Drosophila melanogaster: one gene and its partner. The protein of the gene in region 1 interacts with the protein of each later gene in a pairwise test. Each region holds a gene or a part of one and is shown in the gene's direction. Other genes may lie near its edges. The genes, in order: Hem and Abi.

Region 1 (6,414 bases):
GCCATTATTTGCTTATCAGAATCTTTGACGTATTGGCCCTCGAAATCGCTTGCCTCGTTAGTAAACCGTCCTGCCTCGTCCACTGGGCAGAGAACCTCACTGGACTTTGTGATGAGGCCCGCAGCGAGGCACACACGATAATCGTCTTCTCCGAAGTAGGGAGCATTGTGCACAATACCCGTACCGGAATCCTCAGTCACGTACTCGTCGACCAGGACACGATAAGCTTTCACCTCAGCTCCTCGCTTCGCAAAGTAAGGGAAAAGCGGCTTGTAGTGAAGGTCCTTAAGGGTTTTGCCAACAAACTTTTCCTTCACTTCGTACTCCGTCTCCGATTTGTACACGTAAGAGAGACGAGACTCTGCGAGAACAAAAAGTCGGTCGCTCTTTACGTCGCGCACTTTTACATAGGTCATCGTCGGATGAACACAGCATGCGAAGTTTGAGGGCAGTGTCCATGGCGTGGTGGTCCACACTAGGAAGAAGGTATTGGGCAACGAAACGGCCTCCAGTGCAACTACTACGCAAGGGTCCACAACCTCCTTGTAGTTTTGGTTGGCCTCGAAGTTCGAAAGGGACGTTGTGCAGGCGGTGGAATAGGGCATCACCTTAACGCCCTGGTAGACCAGACCCTTGTCGAACAGTTGCTTGAAGATCCACCAAATGGACTCCATGTACCATGGGTACAACGTCTTGTAATCGTTCTTGAAGTCAATCCAGCGACCCACGCGCGTCACCACATTCTCCCACTCATCTGCGTAACGCATGACAATCTTCCGGCACTCGGCATTGTAGGCTGCGATTCCCATCTTGGCCACGTCCTCAGGACCCTTGATATTCAGCAGCTTGTCAATCTCGAACTCCACGGGCAGTCCGTGGCAATCCCAGCCGAAGCGACGGTCCACATGGTATCCCTGCTGGTATGCGTACCGTGTGACGATGTCCTTGATGGTGCCAGCAAGAATGTGTCCGTAGTGGGGCAGCCCGGTTGCAAAGGGCGGTCCATCGTAGAACGTGTATCTTGGAGGTGGAAAATTAGCACAAAATTTGGCGATCGGCTGATGCAATCGTATGCGGCACTTACTTGGGCTTTCCCTTCGACAGCTGGCTGCACTTTTCAAAGATATTTTCGTGTCGCCATTTCTGCAGTACGTTCTCCTCCTCGGCCGGGAAATTAATGTTCTCTGGCACCCGACACACGTCGTTCCGCTCTAGTTTTTTTCCCATGGCTGTCAAAGTTCACTGTTGTATTATTTATCAAGTAACAGAGCTTATTCGCCCACCTTTTATATCAGAAATTCAACTGACTTGCGGCGTTTTTGCGTGGCACACAACGTGCCCGAGGTACGGAACTAGTGGTTCATTAATCGCTCTCTAGCTCATGGGTTCGCGATATCGATAGTAGGTTCCGATGAGCGGCATCCTTGATAATCAGCTGACGACAGCACTGAAAAAAAAAGAAAGGCTTATTTACTATTAACAACTTTAATAAATTTGTTAGCCATAAGAATAAAAAACTGAACTGTAAGTTACTAAGTAAGAAAGCCATTGGCAATTGAATGAATAAACTATGCAATAGTTTTGAAAGCAATTATTCCTGACTTAGACAAATAATTCTAATAAATTAAAACCCCAAATACCAGCTATTATTAATTTGTAGTATAACCAAATTACTGTAATATATAATTATAAAAAAATTATCTTAAATTATATTAAGCCATATGTTTTTTTTCTCAGCAGTATATTTTCTTTTTAACAATCAATAGTTTAGCATATATATGGTAGCTATCGTTATCGATAGCAATATATCTTTGCTATCAGCCCATTGGTCATCACTAACGCGAAAACAAGAGGAAGAGTAATGTGTACACTTTTGTGTCGCTCCTTTTCGGCCAATTTAACAAACGAAAAAGTATAAGTACTGGGCAAATCAGCACTTGCACGCCTCCCAATACGTCTCGCCAGCGCACACCTGTGTTCTGGGCTCCACCGGAAACTCGCCTTCAGCCATTCGACGTCGCCAACAGTCATCGGATATGGCACGCCCAATTTTTCCGAACCAGCAGAAGATAGCTGAGAAACTAATCATCTTGAATGACCGCGGCCTGGGCATTCTTACGCGGATATACAACATCAAGAAAGCATGCGGCGACACCAAGTCGAAGCCAGGCTTCCTCTCCGAGAAGTCGTTGGAATCGAGCATCAAGTTTATCGTGAAGCGGTTCCCCAACATCGACGTCAAAGGGCTCAATGCTATTGTAAACATCAAAGCGGAGATTATTAAGTCGCTGTCCCTGTATTACCACACATTCGTGGACCTACTTGATTTCAAGGACAATGTATGCGAACTGCTCACCACGATGGACGCCTGCCAGATTCACCTGGACATCACATTGAACTTCGAGCTGACCAAATATTATCTGGACTTGGTTGTGACCTACGTGTCCTTGATGATTGTTTTGTCTAGGGTCGAGGACCGCAAGGCAGTTCTGGGCTTGTACAATGCCGCCTACGAGCTGCAAAACAATCAGGCGGACACGGGCTTCCCCCGCTTGGGGCAGATGATTCTGGACTACGAGGTCCCCTTAAAAAAGTTGGCCGAGGAATTCATTCCCCACCAGCGCCTGCTAACCAGTGCGTTGCGGTCGCTGACCTCCATCTATGCACTGCGAAACCTGCCAGCAGACAAGTGGAGGGAAATGCAAAAGTTGAGTCTGGTAGGCAATCCGGCCATTCTTCTTAAGGCCGTCCGCACTGACACCATGTCCTGCGAGTACATATCCCTGGAGGCAATGGACCGCTGGATAATCTTTGGCTTGCTGCTGAACCATCAAATGCTCGGACAGTACCCGGAAGTCAACAAAATCTGGCTCTCCGCCCTGGAGTCAAGCTGGGTTGTGGCCTTGTTCCGCGACGAGGTCCTGCAAATTCATCAATACATTCAGGCTACTTTCGACGGAATTAAAGGTTACAGCAAGCGGATCGGAGAAGTAAAGGAAGCCTACAACACGGCGGTTCAAAAAGCTGCTTTAATGCATCGGGAGCGGCGCAAGTTTCTTCGAACAGCCTTGAAGGAGCTAGCTCTTATTATGACCGACCAACCAGGCCTCCTGGGACCTAAGGCAATATTCATTTTCATCGGTCTTTGTCTTGCGCGCGATGAGATTCTATGGCTCCTCAGGCATAATGACAACCCACCTCTTCTCAAAAATAAAGGTTAGTTAAGGATTTTCTTACGATTAAATTAAAATTTGTGAACCTTAACTATTTTAAATTTATAGGAAAGAGCAATGAAGATCTTGTAGACCGACAGCTGCCGGAGCTCTTATTCCACATGGAGGAACTCCGCGCTCTTGTGCGTAAATACAGCCAGGTAATGCAGCGATATTACGTGCAATACTTGTCCGGATTCGATGCCACGGATCTTAATATTCGAATGCAAAGTCTGCAAATGTGTCCAGAAGACGAAAGCATAATCTTCAGTTCGCTCTACAACACGGCTGCAGCCCTGACAGTTAAGCAGGTGGAAGACAACGAACTCTTTTATTTCCGACCATTCCGCCTGGACTGGTTCCGCCTCCAAACGTACATGAGTGTGGGAAAGGCTGCACTTAGGATCGCAGAGCATGCAGAGCTGGCCCGCCTACTGGATTCAATGGTTTTCCACACTAGGGTGGTAGATAACTTGGACGAAATACTAGTAGAAACCTCGGATCTCAGTATCTTCTGTTTCTATAACAAAATGTTTGACGACCAATTCCACATGTGCTTGGAGTTTCCCGCGCAGAACCGCTACATCATAGCGTTTCCCTTAATCTGCAGCCACTTCCAAAATTGTACGCACGAAATGTGCCCGGAGGAGCGACACCATATACGTGAAAGGTCTCTCAGCGTGGTAAATATATTTCTTGAGGAAATGGCTAAGGAGGCTAAAAACATTATAACCACAATTTGCGATGAGCAGTGCACAATGGCAGACGCTCTATTGCCAAAACACTGTGCTAAGATTCTTTCCGTACAATCTGCTCGTAAGAAGAAGGACAAATCGAAGTCTAAGCATTTTGACGACATACGAAAGCCGGGAGACGAGTCGTACCGAAAGACACGAGAGGATCTGACGACGATGGACAAGTTGCACATGGCCCTGACGGAGCTTTGTTTTGCAATCAATTATTGCCCCACGGTCAACGTTTGGGAGTTTGCTTTTGCCCCTCGCGAGTATCTCTGTCAGAACCTGGAACACCGCTTTTCCCGGGATCTTGTTGGCATGGTGATGTTCAACCAGGAGACAATGGAGATAGCCAAGCCCTCGGAGCTGCTGGCCAGCGTTCGAGCCTACATGAACGTGCTGCAGACAGTAGAGAACTACGTGCACATAGACATAACACGAGTTTTCAACAACTGCCTGTTGCAGCAAACACAGGCTTTAGACTCTCATGGCGAGAAAACCATTGCCGCTTTGTACAACACCTGGTACAGTGAGGTTCTGCTAAGGCGTGTCTCCGCTGGCAACATTGTGTTCTCCATTAACCAAAAGGCTTTTGTTCCCATTTCGCCCGAGGGCTGGGTACCATTTAACCCGCAGGAATTCTCTGATCTCAACGAGCTGCGAGCACTTGCAGAACTTGTGGGACCTTACGGTATCAAAACATTGAACGAAACACTTATGTGGCACATAGCAAACCAGGTGCAAGAGTTGAAGTCGCTGGTGAGCACCAACAAGGAAGTGCTCATTACACTGCGAACCAGTTTTGACAAACCTGAAGTGATGAAGGAGCAATTTAAGCGCTTACAGGACGTGGACCGCGTGCTGCAACGCATGACGATCATTGGTGTGATCATATGTTTCCGCAACCTGGTGCATGAAGCCCTCGTTGATGTGCTGGACAAGCGCATACCCTTCCTGCTTAGCTCAGTGAAGGACTTTCAGGAACATTTGCCCGGAGGCGACCAAATTAGGGTTGCTTCCGAGATGGCCTCAGCAGCGGGTCTGCTATGCAAGGTAGACCCCACATTAGCAACTACACTGAAATCAAAAAAGCCAGAATTCGATGAGGGTGAGCACCTCACTGCCTGTCTACTGATGGTCTTTGTGGCAGTGTCTATACCAAAACTGGCCCGTAACGAAAATTCCTTCTACAGAGCCACAATTGATGGCCACTCAAATAACACGCACTGCATGGCGGCGGCCATTAATAACATCTTCGGAGCCCTGTTTACCATCTGCGGTCAAAGTGACATGGAGGACCGCATGAAAGAGTTCCTTGCTCTGGCCAGTTCTTCCCTACTGCGCTTGGGCCAGGAGTCCGACAAAGAGGCGACACGGAACCGAGAGTCCATCTATTTGCTGCTGGACGAAATCGTCAAACAATCGCCCTTCCTCACAATGGATCTGCTTGAGTCCTGCTTTCCCTACGTGCTTATACGCAACGCGTACCATGGCGTATACAAGCAGGAACAGATCTTAGGGCTGGCACTCTAAATGGAGCCGATCTGTGTATTCCACATAATGCTTATGTAGTTTATCCGCCGATCGACTATCGATCACTATGCTAATCTAACATACTTTAAAACTGTTAAACATACCCAAATGTATTCTAGACTCTGCATTTTTATACTCGTACGACTTCGAATAAAGTGCTTATACAACCCAAATAAGTATCCCACATTAATAAGCTGTCTCTAGATCGGATCGGTATGTATATTCTTTATTTCGGCTTATTGAAATATGTGTCCACTCCCGCGAACGTGCAGCTCCTCCGCTTCAATTTCTGTTAAATTTCATTTGGACACATGCGCACACGTGTGTGTATATTAAATATGAGTTTGGGGGAAAAATCTTCCGCAATATTAAATTATTTGGTCACGTTCAATGTTACTTTGTAGGCTTGTGTACAAATACTTGTAGGCAAGTAGTAAAATATGTTTTCGTTATTTTGTAATATGATTTCTCAGTAGTTATCATTGGTAGTATTTAAATTTCGATTTTGAGTTTTCAATTCCGATACAAAGACTTTTATGCAATGATTTATTATTGTTTTTAATTCTTTTTGAATTACATGATCTGGGATAGGTTCTTTTTCACGGATGGTTAAATGATAAGTTTTGCAAACCGAAATCGGGTAAGTAGGGCATCTTTTCAAATCTGCTCGTAATCAACATAGGCCTAAACATCTACAAATGGGTTCGGTTAAATGTACCAAAATCACTACACTCTGCTAAAAAGCTGTCAATATTTGAGTTTACATCTGTATTTGTGAACATTCTCGATATCTACAATGGGGTTTCGTTAATTATACACATACTTGCTTATTAATATTATAGAAGGTATTGTTATTTATGTGATGCTGAATATTTTGCTAGTTCGTACAATCTATTTAGCATTTCTCACTGATTTGGTTTTACTTGGTTTCG
Region 2 (5,637 bases), on another chromosome or scaffold:
TTTGGCGGCTGCTATGCGATGTTTCAGTTGATGCCTAGTGCCTCTAAAGATATCGACTGACGTACGGACACATATAGACACGGGATAGACACAACACAAAAGAAATAAACGATTGGATACAATAAATTAAATGCTCTGCTAGGAAACAGTACGTAGAAGGGCGATAAACAGAATTGACTCGGTGGGATCGGGATTCAGACTTAGTCCTCTGCGGTGGGACGCGTGAGGCGCTTGGCGCCTCGGTTTGGTGGCCCCTTGGGCTTGGCAAAAGCCGGTCGGTGTAGAATCTTCTTTGGGTGCAGCTCGTCCTGCAAGAAGGCTTCGGTCAGCTCGCTGCCGCTGTCGATTTCAAGCTGAAATGTAAAACGTTGTTAGAAACATGAATCAGATTTAGTATGATTTAAAATTACTCATTATTTATGATTTACAGATTTCTATTTCAAGTGAAAAGTGAGACATTCGCCCTAATTATGATTCAAAATATTTCTAGAGATCGTGAATCAAAAGTATAGTGAATGTGGCGATTTGAAAGCAATAAATAAATCACAAACAATATATACCCTGCTTTTGCTTTTTATAGCCCTAATCTTTAGTGCTATTAGCGCAGCCACACCCACTCGCATTCATATCAACTCACCTTCTTAACAACCTCCACGCCAAGGGCCGCGAGCTCGTCGAGAAAAGGAGCCTTACAGCTTGAGTACATCATGCGCTCGCGCACGGAGCAGGAATATCCAGGCATGGAGTAGACGAACACGTACGACTCAAAGTAGTCGCCCTCGTGCGTGTGCCGAAACAGGAAGAGGTGGTATCGTGCATGATCCTCGGGCACTTGCTTCGGCAGATCGGCGAGCTCCACTTTGGCCGCACGCGAAACATGGATCTGTTCCTCCTCCAGATCGATGCGGAACTGAAGGTAGTCGTGCTTGCCGCGCACCAAATCCTGAACGGCAGCCACGGTTGCCTCGCTCAGCGGGCAATTGATCCCACCCAGAGTTTGGTGCCGCGTATTCGTATTGATCTCAGTGTGAACCTCTGTCTTTCGCAGCTCTTTCAGCTCCTCCTCCCTGCTGGTCAATGGAGCTGGGGCTGCGAAATCCTGCTTGTGCCGGCGATAGCCCTCCAGCGTGCACTCATCCAGAGTGGTGGCATGCAGCTCCTCTGTGATGTATGCTGATCCGAACTCCGTTTTCAACGTGGCCTTCGTGGAAGCGTATACCATCTTCTGTCGGATGCTGGCCGTGTCCGGCGTCCAGCTGATAAGTAGCCAACTGTAGCCCAGCGGGATCTTGGCGTCCAGGCGATAGAGAATATAGCAGGGCACATCCTTTTCCAGTAGGGGACCTATAAGCTTGTCGTAGTCGCGCTCCCAATCCTTTTTCGTCTCCGCCGTGGCGCCGCAACTAAGCTGCTCTGTAATTTGGGGCGGGGTGAAAACGGATGCGGGTTCGTTATCAAATCGTATGCCTAGTATATATCTTGTGTATATACGTTTCTGGATTAAATCCACTCACCATTCTCGATCGAAACTTTTATCACGCGAAATTTACCATTCTTCGCTTTGCCGAACACCTTGGCCAGCTGCTCGTTGGCTGAAAATACAAAGGGTGTTCTAAGGATGCGGATTAGGTGGTTCCCAAAGATAACAAACCTCGGATACCCGTTTGGTGAGACATTTGGACAACAGCTAAAATTAATATTGCCGAAAAAATATATTACTCACAACCAGTGTGACCGCAAAGCGCGAGTAGGGAAATACTAAACCGGGAAATATGTACCGATTCTGATTGGCAATCACTTCAAAGCGGCTTTAAATGTGTAAAAAAAAAAGAATTATTAATTAAAAAGATACTGTAATGCTATTTTTATAACTAAATTTTGGGAAAATTTTTAACACTCTGTTTTATAGAACATACATTTCAAAAATAATACCAAATGTGTCTGCACTGATACAGTGTTGAAAAATTCTTCAAGCTCCAGTACTTTGCAGCACAGGCCAGCGTTCTTTCTTTTTTCACGGAAAATGTAATGAAAAACTGCATTTAACTGCATTTAAAACGTAGCAACTAGCCCGGAAAAGCATCTGTTGTGCAATCGCATAGTCAATAAAGTGAGTGCACGCGAGATTCGTCCGATTAAACCGCTCCAGCGATCAACTGGAGCAGCTGGGCGTCGACGTCGGCAGAGGCCAGCCCACGCCCCAAATGTTTACGGGCGTGAAAAGTGCGGAAAAGCGAGGAATTTAATTGGGTTTTCGTTTCCCGTTTGCCCGCAGCATCCACACCCATGTTGACCGAAACCCCCATGGCCAGCGAGAACATCATGGACGAACTAGCCTCTCTGATACGCACCGAGATCCCCGATGGCCGCCAGAGTCTGCGGGACAGCTACACGAACCTGGAGCGGGTGGCCGACTACTGCGAGGACACCTACTACCGCGCGGACAACAAGAAGGCGGCCCTGGAGGCCACCAAGAACTACACCACCCAGTCGCTGGCCAGCGTGGCCTACCAGATTAACACGCTCGCCTATAGCTACATGCAGCTCCTCGAGCTTCAGGCCCAGCAGCTCGGCGAGATGGAGTCCCAGATGAACCACATCGCCCAGACGGTGCATATCCACAAGGAGAAGGTGGCCAGGAGGTAAGAACAACAAATTGCTTAAACTAGAATAGGAAAAGGGGATATGCATATTTTAAAACGACAAAGAATACGGAATGAACATTTTTGTCTGTAAGTACGACTCATCGGTGATAAAAGCTTCATAGAGAAGAAATGTACATTCATACATGCGTCGTCAGACGTGCTGATAAGACTGAACGTCTCTTTCTTCATTCTTTTCCTACATAACTATTTAGTTTTTTCAATTCACTTTATTTGTATTAATTATTTTTGATTATCTTCATTGTCTTTTCTCAGAGAGATTGGCGTGCTTACGGCTAACAAGGTGAGCTCGCGCCAGTTTAAGATCGTGGCGCCCATCAATCCGGAGAAGCCCATCAAGTATGTGCGCAAGCCCATCGACTACTCGATGTTGGACGAGATTGGCCACGGCATTAACTCGGCCCAGCACTCGCAGGTGCGACAGAAACATCGGGGCTCCAGCCATGGGTCCGTGCAATCCTTATTGCCGCCGTCGGTGGGACCTCCGCCAACCACGAAGCCCCCAACTCCGCCGCAGATGTCGCGAGCTGGGAACACTGGCACACTGGGCAAGTCGGTCAGCAATACCGGGACACTGGGCAAGAGTTCGCGGGAGTACCGCACTCCGCCTGTGGTCAATCCACCACAGGTGCCATCGCACTACGCTCCCAACTATCCTATTGGGCATCCAAAGCGAATGTCGACGGCTTCTTCAACGATGACTACCACCACCACAGGCGGCGGAGCGGCGGGCAATGAACGAGCTGCTGGCTACAGTGCACTTCCGATGCCACCCAGCCAGCAGATAGCCACACATGTAAACCTGCCCTCCGCGGGCATGATGCAATCGCTGCCACCACCGCCGCCCACTACGTACGACGATCGCAGCAGCATGCCACGTGAGTTAATTTGATTATTCTGCAATAGCTCAATACTAATAATGCGGTTTGCAATTCGTAGCAGCTCCTCCTTCACCACTTACGGTTTCGCAGCACGAGATGACCGAGCAGAGTCACATTGGCATGCACACTTTGGGACGCAATATCAACAGGTAAGTTTCTGGAAAATGCAATCCCTTCTTTGTGTAAATATAACCTATTTATTGTTCTCTGTGCAAATCCAGGAATCCAAATAGGTAAATTGCATGTTTCTCTGTTTATCATAGGGTTATACTCAGCTAAAAAAAGTTATACTAGGTTTTCGTGTTTGTACTGTGTATAACTCCATGAAATTCATATGTTATCTTGTATATTAAACGCGTATTTTTCCAAAGGAATCACTTCAGCTTGAACTTCGCTCGTCCCGGCTCACAGTCGCCTCCCTTGCCACCTCCGCCGCCGCCGGAGGATGAGCATCAAGACTTCGGACGACCACGCACATCGACGGGACCGCAGCTGGCGCCCATAGTGCCCGAGGATCAGAACTTACCCGGCTGGGTGCCCAAGAACTTCATTGAGAAGGGTAGGCTGATTGGAGCAACTAACAATATACCTTACTAATTCTTACAAACATTCCAGTGGTAGCCATTTACGACTACTATGCCGACAAGGACGACGAGCTGAGCTTCCAGGAAAGCTCAGTGCTGTACGTGCTCAAGAAAAACGACGACGGCTGGTGGGAGGGCGTCATGGATGGTGTTACCGGTCTGTTTCCGGGCAACTACGTAGAGCCTTGTGTCTAAGCCTCGCATCGATATTCTAAACATGCCAACCATTACAATAATCTGCATCATCTGGTCTGTTCCAGTCCTCTGCTGCTTCTCAAGAGCTCCAAAAAATTTCAATTCAGTTATCGGAGAGTTAGACTGAGGACCGCAACAGACTCAGCTGACAATGACGATAAGATTTTGAGCATATTAATAAGGACAATTATACAATTACACACCTACACAAGCACAGCAGGCCAGAGAAAGCGAATTCCATTAGCATCAGCCAACCGCATTTAGTCTAATATAAACGAGCACACAAACACACAGAATCCACGGGCTAGGGATACCGCTTGCTGCCCAACTAAAACTATTTACACTTTAGTAGCCGAAAACGATGCAAGAAGGGGAAAGTGAAACCGGATACCCGTGAATAACTTATGCGATATTATAAAACTGTTCCACAACCGTAGACGAATTCTGTCCTGCTCCTGCCGCCAATCCAAATACTTTAAATATTTGCTCACAGTTTTATCAAGCGATTTCTGTTTGCCTTGCGCTTTGATATGCCCGGCTATTATACACCAATACTACCCGAACCTATGCCCCCAGCAATACTGTAGGTTATATAAATTTCAGTTAGCATTTAATACTTAAGTATTGGCCAGTTGGAACTTTTGTTTATACTTTTACGAACCGCAACGATGTCTTTTTTTTGCGAACGTTTAGTTAAAATGGAATTGCCAGCAAAGGAATCAAATTAAATTAAACAATACAAGTACACATACGCTCTATATGGTAAAAATAATAGCTAATAAAAATTTCAATTACTAAACCGCAAGCCCTTGTTCTATGACCGTGTAATTTGCGCTGACCTTCTCGTGAGTCGAGCCCCGGATGTCAGTAAAAATCCGTAATTGGGGCAAGGCTCTGTGGCCTGCCAAATTCAAATTCGAAATCTCAAATGCAAATTTCAAGTCGTGTGATGGAAGGCTTGAAATATTTGCAAATGCCAACACTCATTGGGGTCATTCAGTCAGTCAATCAATCCATTATAATCGACACTTTGCTCTACAAACCGATTTCAATTCAATGTCTCGTCCCGGAAAACTTTTCCATAACTCGGCTCCGGGTAAATTAATGCTTTCGTGGTGATATGTGGAAGGTTTTTTACCCATTTGCTAAATTTATTATCAGGTTTCGAGGAGTTGACGTGGCGGAAATGCCAGAAAAAAGTGGAGTGCTGGCATGATTTGCATAAAATGTGCTAAATTGTTGCCCACTTTTTGGGCCCCTCAACTATACATACATAAATATGGAAATACCTTTATTTGTGAACAATTATTGGAG

What was found.
Region 2: the proteins of Hem (region 1) and Abi interact in a two-hybrid assay, tested with the Drosophila melanogaster proteins (2 studies listed by BioGRID).

Annotation. Positions count from the first base shown.
Region 1 is NT_037436.4:22,283,610-22,290,023, reverse strand, and holds Hem (HEM-protein), read left to right. Parts: upstream 1-1,828; 5' UTR 1,829-2,036; coding exon 2,037-3,216; intron 3,217-3,281; coding exon 3,282-5,482; 3' UTR 5,483-5,670; downstream 5,671-6,414. Other genes in the region: IleRS (Isoleucyl-tRNA synthetase), read right to left, coding at 1-1,020, 1,085-1,227. UniProt on the Drosophila melanogaster protein: Plays a role during growth of the oocyte.
Region 2 is NT_033777.3:14,118,751-14,124,387, reverse strand, and holds Abi (abelson interacting protein), read left to right. Parts: upstream 1-1,967; 5' UTR 1,968-2,110; intron 2,111-2,138; exon of another isoform or gene 2,139-2,275; 5' UTR 2,276-2,286; coding exon 2,287-2,642; intron 2,643-2,918; coding exon 2,919-3,541; intron 3,542-3,602; coding exon 3,603-3,693; intron 3,694-3,765; coding exon 3,766-3,777; intron 3,778-3,915; coding exon 3,916-4,103; intron 4,104-4,159; coding exon 4,160-4,323; 3' UTR 4,324-5,126; downstream 5,127-5,637. Other genes in the region: twf (twinfilin), read right to left, coding at 201-353, 638-1,413, 1,515-1,592, 1,652-1,676.